Regions from separate parts of the Mus musculus genome. Here region 1 is reported to be linked to region 2. Evidence: microRNA targets listed by miRTarBase, many of them from high-throughput screens and not tested one by one. Region 2 holds a microRNA gene; the other region holds the end of a gene's coding sequence.

Region 1 (5,068 bases), not on the chromosome of region 2:
AGGTCTCCTCCAACCCGCTCCAGATCCACAGACCCCCTCCACATTCCTGAACAATCTCCGCCCCCAACCCCTGCTTTCCCGACAGCTGACCCAGTTAAGTAAAGAAAAAGAATTTTCTCTTTTTTCCCCTACACCCTCATCTCGTTGTATTTTTGTGGTTGTTGTTGTTTTGTGTCTACGTGGAGGGCGGGGAAGAAACATTATCAGCTCAGGAACAAGAAACGTTATCTAGTCAGGAACAGGGCAGCAGGAGAGGAACACTGCCTGTTTTTCTGAAAATGAGACAAAATGAAAGCCAGGAAGACGGGTTCTGGAATTTTCCGAGGAGTCTCCCCGGAGACCCTCCCCACCACCCGCCTTCCTAATTGAGCCTGGCGTTTCCCAACAAGAATGTGTGCTGATGGGCTTTGATGAGAAGCAGGTTTTTGTTCCCTCTTGCAATGATGTCTCTGCAGCACTTCTGGCCAGAGTTGTTTACCCCTAGTTTTCATGGAGATTTGTGACACCGGCCCATAACCGATTTAACTGGCTGCAGTGAGCCAGCTGGCCGTTGGGGAGACAGGGTTTTGCCATGGGTAAATTGTCCGCCCCCCTACTCCCCAACCCAAATTCATATGCTGAGACCCTAAGTCCCAGGATCTCAGATCCCCACTTAAAGGGAGGGTCTTTAAAGAGGTAATTATGGCCAGGCAATGTCACTGGGTGGGCCCTAACCCATGACTGGAATCTGCAAGCCCAGAGAGGGAGAGCCAAGCCTTCTGACACCTGGAGGTCAGGCTTCCAGCCTGGAGAACTGAGAGAAAGCAAGTTTCTCCCAAGCTGGGGCCTGTGAGGTGATGCAGCTCCAGGGAGTGTTTCCGGTCTTATGCAGAAGGGAAGAAAGTGTCCACTTGGTAGTTCCTACTGTTACCGCCAGTAAGTGTTCTCTAGCCACTCACCGCTTAGCCTGTGGATAACAGAAAAGGACATATCGAGAGGCAGAAGTGTGTGTGTGTGTGTGTGTGTGTGTGTGTGTGTGTGTGTGTGTGTTTGTGTGTGTGCGTGTATGGTGGTCGTGGGGCATTGTCAGTCACAGTTGCAGTTGTCCATTCACAGGTCCCTGTGCCTAGTTGAGTCCCTGTGGCCAAAGTGAACAGAACGTTTGTGAAGTGCTGGGGCAAGTCAAGGGCTCTCCTTGCAAATACTGAAGTAAGGCCCATAGTCATCCCTTGGTAGGTAGGAAACCAAGGGGCAGGGAGCCACTGGTTTGCTGTCCCACTGGCAGAAGTGAGCTGGCCTCTGATTTGATTGGTTTGCTTCTCCCCTGGTGAGCTGGCCTCTGATTTGATTGGCTTGCCTCCTCACTGCAGCTGGCGTCTGATTCGATCCAGGCTGTTTGCTAGAAGCCTTTGTACACGCCACAGATATGCACATGGAAGTCTCATTGGTTTGGGTTGGCTCACTGGCCAGTGAGCCCAAGAGAGTCACCTGTCTCTTTCTTTCCTGCACAGGGATTACCAGTGGGCACCTCCCAGCCTCTTTGTGTTTTGTTTTGTTTTTATTATGGAATCAGGGGTTTGAACTGAGGTCTCTACGCCTGCATGACACTTGACTAACTGAGCCATCTCCTTGTTCTCCCTTTTAAACATGGAGTTCCACGTGTCTCTGTGCCTTAGATGGGATGGGCATGTGTAGAATGCAGACATGATCATAACAGCCTGTACTGAACACGAACAGTAGTTGCCACCTGCCCTTGACATCCAGCTACCCTGCCCACTTCCTGCCCTAACGCCAGGGGTGACCGGAGAACAAGTTTCCCCAGACTCTTGACAGCGTGTTGGAGAAAGTCCTGCACGGTGGGTGGCTAGGCACGAAGTGTGGCTGGTGTGGGTTCAAGAAGAGTGATCACTTTTCGAGCTGCCTGTCTCCGGAACTTTCTGTCTCTAACGTGTGAATAGACAGAGTAAAGTCGGCAACCCCTTAGCCCGTCTAGGCTTAGTCCCATAAGGAATTTGCTGTTTTGAATAGTTTTAAAAATGATGGGCTGCAGGTCTTCTTATGTTCACCACACAGGTGAACCCCCCAAGAAAAGCTTCTCCGAGCTAGAGAGATGGCTCAGTTAAACACTCTCACTGCTCCTGCAGAGAACCTGGGTTAAGTTCCCAGCACCCACATGGCAGCTCCCAGCCATCTGTAACATCTGATACCTACTCTGACCTCCAATGGCCTATGGTGCACATACATATGTGTAGGCCAAATGCTCAAACACATAAACACATAAGTTCTGAATTTTTTTTAAATGTGTTTCACATGCAGGAGACAGAGGCAGGCAGATCTCTCTGTGAGCTCAAGGCCAGCCTAGTCCACAGAGCTAGTTCTAGGACAGTCAGGACTAAGAAACCCTATCTTGAGAAAAAAAGTGTGTGTGTGTGTGTGTGTGTGTGTGTGTGTGTGTGTGTGTGATAGTTCCAGGATAGCCAGGGCTACACAAAGCAGCCCTGCCTTGAGGTGGGAAAGAGGGAGAGGGTCACTGCTAGTTTTTCCTTGGGAACATGCTTCCTGCCTTGCCCTAAGGATGAGGCTCCTCTGACTGGCCACTTGGTCTTTCAGGAGATCAAACACCATCCTTGGGATAAGGCAGAGGGCTTGCATATGCCAGGTCATCTCCCCCATGGCTACCAGAGCTGAATTAGTTGTTCAAGTACACACAGCTAGAACAGCCAGTTGGGGTCTGACCATATCACCCTTCACCGGGAAGTGATGCCCATCCGCTGGGACGGTGGCAGCCAGATGCAGAACTGAGAGTGTTGTTCTGTCTTCTGAGAGCCCTATTACAGGACGTCCCCCCAATATAATGTGGCCTGGGGAAAGGAACTTTGTGTGTAAACAAACACAGCATAAAGGTCACCTTGATTTCCTGTTTTAAAATCTGCATTTTCAATGAACTGCACACACTGGGAACCCCCCCCCCCCACCCCCAAGGACGCCATTAAGGAAACCATTGCCTTCCATCATCTGGAGTTAATCTGATGGAGCAGTCCTCCAGTTGGACCATCGAGGGTGTCTCCTCTCTTCCGCTCCTGGTCCCCACGGGCCCTTGTGCACATGGTAATTATGTACTTGGGATGAGTTCCTACAAGAGAAATGACTGCAAACAGACACTCAAGACTTCTGCTCCACACTTCTGACTTGTTTTCAGGAGGATACCGCTAATGCTCATTTTTGAGGAATGGATGGAGATCCACTCCCAGCGGACCAGGCTTCCCTGGAAGGCTGGTGTACAAGCAGTCATCCTGTGAGAGGGGTCATGTGTGAGGGGTCTTGGGCTCACTGCTCCCTTGCCTGTCCCCCTGCTTAGCTGAGCACAGGATGGCCACGCTCTGCAGATGACCTCAAACCCCAGCCTTCTTGGTTTACTGGAAACCCTGAGAACTTGTTAGTATGCGCAGTTCCGGGAACGAGGCACTGGGTCAGCTTCATCTCCCAAGTCAGCTCCCTGGTTCTCTTGCAGCTTTTGGATTCTGTGACTTATGCATGTCTTGTTTTCCCATCCTTTGGATTTCCATGTCAAAGTCCGGGAAGGCAGGCTGGTCTCTGGTCTCCAGTTCAGGTCACAAATGAGCCCAGTCTTATTTTCTTTTGCATTTTTCCTCTGTCTCTTCTTCATTCTTCCCCACCCTTCCCCCTCATTTTCTTTTTTTTATAAACAGGCTTATAAATCCCAGGTTGACGTCAAACTCACAGCAATCCTTCTACCTCAACACCCCAAAGTGCTTTGATTCCAGGCACACGCTGCCATAGCTCAACCCTATTTTTCAGATTAATGCTGTCACTACTGTCCATGGCTTCCCAGGGACAGAAGGGACAGTGCTGAGTGGAGGAGGAGGTCACATCCCTGGCACCTCTTGGCCTTCACTTGTCCTATGCACTAGGGTTTCTCAGAGAAGACAGGGTGACCTTTAGGGAAGGGACACAGAGACAGCACCCTCTTCACGTGCTACTCAGCCGAAGCTTCTGGCTCACGGTAGGCATTCTCTCTCGCTAGTTGTTAATTCATGACTATTTCCAAGTACTAAGAGCAGGGGCTGTGCCAGTCAGTGGTGGTGCACACCTGAGAGACAGAGGCAGGAGGATCTCTGAGTCCAAGTCCAGTTTGGTTTACAGAGCAGGTTCCAGGACAGCCAGAGCTACATGGAGAAACCCTGTCTCAAAAAACCCAAGAAAGGCAAAAAGAAAGCAGGGACCATGCAGTAGAGGCCAAGGGCATCAGAATCATTTGGGAACCCCTCAACAAACTCAGGGGATCTTTGACTGGGTGTCATCTGGTTAGAGACCCTGCGATAAACTCCTCAGCAAAAGACAGATCTCCACGAGTGGCTTGATTTCCTGTATAGGTTATTTGTACCCAGACAGAACACTTCCCAGGTTTAAGAATACTCTTTTAATCACAAACTGTGCATCTACAAACACATCTGTGCAGTCTTCCTTGGAGTTCAGAATGCCCACAGTGGTGATGAAGTGTACCAGAGACCTGGTGCTTAGAACAATCTCAGAGGTAAGCAGAGGCAGGCCCCTGCTCCCCTGCTAGAAGCCTCTGGCTAGGGCATATTCAGCTTAATGCAGAGCCACTCTCAAGTCCTGTGCTAACTAGGCTAGAGCAGGATGCAAGGTGGGACCTGCTCCTGATGCTGTTGCTGGGCTAGGCCCATGGTTCCCCAATCCCTCATCACCTGGGATACCTACACGATGCCCTCTGTGCGCTTGCTCCTCCAGACCACCAGTGCAGTCATGAGCAGCGTGACCGTAATGGGGAGCGCAATGAAAGGGCAGAGGATGCTGTTGGGAGGGTCCCGCAGGGCCCTGCCCGAGATGGGGCACTTGCTGAAGTATCGATGGTGGACAGCGATGAAGAATCTGTCCACTTCCGGATTGGGCCAGAAACAGCCAATCGTGTGCGCCACGTGCTTGGTGCAGTAAGTGAGCTCCCCATAGCTCCTGTGGATACAAAGAGAGGTTGTCAGGAGACCCAGCTGGGACTCAGCTTTGTCTGGACAGAGGCAAAGCAGTCCTTTCCCTCCCCCACTCTAAA
Region 2 (5,072 bases):
ATCTGACCTTGCTTGCAGGGTGGTTGCTGGGCCCGTTGTAGCAGGAGAAATGGCCTTTCCTTGGCCACAGCAAGAAAGCTTCCATGACCTTAATGTCACTTGGGGGTCCACTAGGCAGTTTGGGATGTGTGAACACAGCTGCTCTACCAGAGGAAGCCAAAATCAAAAGCATTTTGATTACCGGCACACTCAAATAGAATTGGGAGTGGGGCACGTGGAAACCAGGCTAGAACAAGCATCCCTGGGTGGTGGGCATGCCGGGAAGCTCTAGAGAAGGGGATGTGGGTACCTGGCCCTGGCTAGAAAGAAGGCCTCCAGCTAGGGCGAAGGAGGCAGACTGCAGCTGAAATGAGACTGAGTCTCGCTCGGCTCAGGGACGCAGCGCAGGCTCTGCACAGTACACAGGTTCTTGTGTCAGCAGGCTTTTCCTGGCCTGGGAATGCTCAGTTATAGATGCAAGCCCCTCCCTCTCCTTCACTTCAGGGTCTCCTACTGCAGGGGTCTGATTAGAGACCTCCCCATCTCCCCCGCTGCAGGGCCCTCTTCCCTGCCTGTTGGCTGCTTTCTGCCATTTCTGAGTAGACCTAGGTGGGAGCTTGTTGTGTGTGTCGCCCTCACGCCCGTGATTCAGGTGGCAGGGGCTGACTCTGTCCTTGCTCTTGGACCAGGAGCTTCACTGATGGCCGAGTTGGGCTTCCCACTTAAACTTGTGCCAGAGCTGCTGGGACCAGTTCCTGTGATCTGCAGGCAAAGGGACGGAAGTTTTATCTTCTGGAGCCAGCCCCTCAGCCTAGTCAAGGAAATCTGCACCCTGTTCAAGCTCCTGGGGTCTGTCTGCTCCTGTGTTGGAACTGGGGACATGTGAGATAGCAGTGGGAGAGGTTAGACCTAGAAAACCCATGGGACCTTCATAACCTTGTTGGTGGGGCCAGTCAGCCTGAGTCAGGTGAGCTGAGGCCAGAGAGCCAAGAAAACCGATGTATAGTCGGGGACTCACAGCCTAGAGGCCTTGTGGTCTGTGCTGGAGTCTGTGAGAAAGTTAATTCTCTGGGCAGCCTGAGGTCAAGACTTAGGCTTTAGCCTGTGTTTAACCCCCAAGTAAGTGACACAGGGTGTTTCTGCCGTGACTGCAGAAGGACCTGTGGCCTGGACAGAGCCTGGGCTTGGTGGCGGTGACAACATCACCTCTGGGGATTCGTGTGTCCTGTGGCAGCTGGTGATGGCCCAGTCTCCTGTTTCTCAGGGATACATCAGATCTGCTGCTCACTTCCGCCATTCAGGTCACTGAGGAGGCAGGGTGCCGCATCTGTCATCTTTGTCTTTTTCAAGCATGGGGCTTAAGTGACATTTTGTGCATTTGAAAAGTCATATCTAGAAGGGGATCCCTAGGTGGGTGTGACCCTTGCCTTGGCACCAAGGTGGTGAGAGCACAGCTGTGCAGAGCTGGACGGGGTGGCCACTATCCCTGTCCTCCAGGAGCTCACGTATGCCTGCCTGTGAGCGCCTCGGCGACAGAGCCGGTGTCCACCCCTGCACTGTCCACAGACCCTTGCCTGCAGACCAGGGTGCTCAGTCGCTGGCTGTTCATGCTGTACCTTCTTGAACTCGATTGTGCAGATCTGCAGGTTGTTCCGTGGATGGAGGGGACTCTGGTTTCTCTGTGCGGTGACGCAAGGCACTGACCCCTCTGGGGTCCTAATCATCTTAACCTACGCAGACACTGAGGGGGAGGGGAGAGGAGCCAGGAGGGAGCCTTCCAGGTCTCTCCCTCTGTGTGTGTCCTCTGTAGCACCAGTTGATTCTACTGCGTGTGACCTATGTCCTGGCAGTTGGTGTCCCTGGGTCACTTCTACATCCACTGTGTTTCAGTAATTACCTCCAAATAAAAAGCTTCCTTTAAAACAAACTCTCTCCCCTCTCTTCATTATGTTGTTGTGCTTTTGCTTTGTCTTCTGGAAATCTTGCTACCGAGTGAGTGCATAGCCGGGCAGCAGTCTGCTGAGGTCTGTGAACCGGAATGGGCTCTCAAGGTCGAACACCTCTGTGGGACCCTGGACTCGGGCTGGCTCCAACTGAATGGAGGAGGGCTGATTCTGGGCTGGGGAATGAGAACAGAGTCCACTGGCCTTGGCACCCAGCTCGTCAGCCTCAGCAGGCTTCGTGGTCTCCCCCCACAAACATCGCTGTCACTTGTAGGCCATTCCCAATGTCTGGGGAACAGGTATAGGGGTGGTAGGGACCAGAGACCATGCCCCAGCCTTGGAGGCACCACCTGGGTATGTGATAGACAGGCCAGGTGCTGGGCTCCATCGACCATCTGCTGTGCCCTTGGGACTCTGTCCTGTGTGAAGCGGGTCAAATGACTGGATTCCCTGCCACTCAGCTGCGCCCCCAGTACAGCTGCTCTGGTCACATGATGGGGTGGGGACAACAGAGGGTCCTTCTACCCTCACCTGTGTTCATCCTTACACCTGACTCAGTCATTCCAAGAAAGAAGGTCCTACAGAGCTGTGTGTCTGGCACTGGCTACCAGGGCCTCTACTGCCAAGGTCTACAACTAACCTTTGAGGGGTTTTTGTTTATGTTTGAGACAGACTTGCTAAGCTCAAGCTAGCCTTGGACTTTCAATCCTCAGGACATATTCACCAACCTCCTCCACAATTCCAAGAACGTTTGAACAAGATGTTTTTGAGCCCAGTGGATGCTCAAAAACGCTGGGCATTGACTGCCTCCCCAGGACAGCACAAATCCCTATTAAGAGAATATCCCCAGTCATACTGCCCCAGCACAGGTGATGCCCTGGCCAGGGCCAGCAGCTCCTTCTAGCTGTGTGGAGAAGGAGAACATCTCTCTGCCCTGTGAACTTCATTGGGGAAGGACAGTGGGCCCTTGCCCTTCCTCCTACACAGAAGGCCTCTTTTACCCCCATGGGACCCAAGGGAGGGGCAGTGGTGGGGTGCTTGAAGCTGCGGTTTGCTGCAGCACCCACCTTTGTGTGCCTCCTCAGCGCCTGAGGCTTCAAAAACAGTAAGGTTCAACCAGGGCTTCCTGATTAAACCTGGGGAACAAACAAGAGAAGCAGGCCCACGCAGTTGCCCTGGTTCAAGGTTGGTCCTGGGTTTACACACAGCCTGGTGAGGGCAAGGGAGAAAGTGCCGCCTGGAGTCTTTGAGCTGGCAGAAAACACCCACTCACCAGGATGCCCCTGCTTACAGATGGTAGAGTTAAGCCTCCTCACCAGCAACAGGCACAAGCAGGCCAGACTCCCCTTACCAGTGTGGCTCAGAATGCCTGGCCAGGACTCTTCTCAACATCCAGAACTCAGGGAGCCTGAGGCAAGATTGCCCCTAAGGGGACGCTAGCTAGCCTGGGCTTTATAATTCCAGGTCAGCTTACCAGCTAACCTACACACACACACACACACACAGGCTGTGCCCTGTCATGGACACCAGGCAGTCTTGAATTTAGCTACCAAGGCTGTTGGGAGATGGTCCAGTTTTCTTCTCAATCTCCAGAGTCACCCAGCAAGCCTTGCCTGTTAGCATGGGACAGAGGCTGCCTGCTCCGCCAGCCCTGGATCAGTGCAAACCATGAGTGGTGATGGAGATGTGGGTGGAGGAACCCTCAGGGTGTGCCATTTGGGAGACTGCTGATGCTGCACTGGCCCCAAAGTGTCAGCCTTCCTTGGCTTTGGTAGGGACAGCAAAGAGCTGAGCCCACCATCCATACAAGGACCCTCCGTGGGTGCAGCATTCGCTCAGGCCAGTGTGCATGTTTTATATGCATGCCTGAATGAGCATTACATATGTACCCAGAGTTCAGAAGAGGACTTTGGGCCCTCTGGAGCTACAATTACAAATGATTGAGAGCTACCATGTGGGTGCTGAGAACCAAACCCAGGTCCTCTGTAAGAGCAACAAGTGCTCTAACCCACCGAGCCATCTCCACCCAGCATGTGTGTGCCACACCCTACCTCTCTTTTAAAAAAGAGCTGGAAAAGAGGGCAGCTCTAATCCCGGGACTCCAGAGGCTACAGAGACAGGAGAAGTGCCAGCCTGGGCCACGTACCAAGTTCCTCTTTGAAAACCAGGGGGCTGGAAAGATGGGGGTCTCAGTTTAGAGCACTTGTCCCTCTTCCAGAGGATCCAGTCTCAACACCAGTACCCATGTGACCAAACCATCCCGTTCTCCAATAACTCCAGTTTCAGGGGACCTGACACCCACTTCTGACATCAGAGGGTACCAGGCACACACATGCGTGTACATATATGTGGGCAGAACATCTATGCACATAAGTAAATATTTTAAAAAGTAACAACAACAACGACAAAAAAGAAACAGGAGGTGGAGAGACGGCTGTCAGTCCAGCGCTTGCCCGACAAGCAGGAGGACCGGGGTCAGATCCCATGAGAGCCCCCTGAAAGCTGACTGTGGCGGTGTGTGTTTGGAATCCCACCGCCAATACGCGGTACTAGGATGGGCAAGTGTTCCACGTTGCCTGGGTTATGCAATGCTGGGGCTAGAAGCCAGTGTCTGCATGCTAGGCAAACACTGTACCAACTGAGCCCCAGCCCCAGCTCCCATTGCCTAACTTTGATGTGTCCTTTCTCTCTCTGTCAAATCCCAAACGACAGAGTGATGGCACTGGGATGTGGTTTCTTCAGTGGCTACAGATAGAGACCTCCCTCTACAGTCTCCACAAGGGCCAGCATGATCCCCCTCAGAGATCCAGTGGAAAGGCAGTGTTAGGTTTTGGGGCGGGAGGCATTTCGGGGGAACACTGTGATCGGTCACTGTAGAGCAGTGGTTTTCAGCCTGCCTTCCTGATGCTGCAGTGCTTTGATACATGTTGTGGTGACCCCACCTCCAGAAAATTAATTTGATTAATACTTCCTCACTGTAGTTTTGCTACTATCAAGAACTGTAATGTGACTAGCGGGCGGGGGGTGGCGGGGCGGTCCCATTGGTTGGGGGTTTGTGACCCACAGGTTGAGAACCGCTGCTGGATTAAAAGAGTTGCTGACATGAGCAAGCAGGCAAAGGCTTGGTGGATCCTCCAAGAGTTCAAACCC

The links. The annotated mature microRNA mmu-miR-339-5p reads UCCCUGUCCUCCAGGAGCUCACG and lies in region 2 at 1,463-1,485, shown strand. An mRNA with a match to its seed (bases 2 to 7 or 8) in the 3' UTR can be bound and repressed. Matches are read on the target gene's strand: a 7mer-m8 pairs with bases 2 to 8, a 7mer-A1 pairs with bases 2 to 7 and ends in A, and an 8mer does both.
Region 1: miRTarBase lists Ramp1 as a target of mmu-miR-339-5p. Seed matches in the 3' UTR shown: 7mer-m8 at 4,180-4,186.

The regions. Positions count from the first base shown.
Region 1 is chr1:91,223,012-91,228,079 of GRCm38, reverse strand. Ramp1 (receptor (calcitonin) activity modifying protein 1) reads right to left here. Exons shown (of 3, transcript NM_016894.3): 3 at 2,884-4,974. The coding sequence ends at 4,719. Among named protein-coding and RNA genes, the nearest start is that of Ube2f, 25 kb to the left of the region's middle.
Region 2 is chr5:139,366,121-139,371,192 of GRCm38, reverse strand. It overlaps Mir339 (microRNA 339), which reads left to right and starts at 1,448; the gene lies at 1,448-1,543. The region is part of intron 2 of 3110082I17Rik (RIKEN cDNA 3110082I17 gene); the gene reads left to right.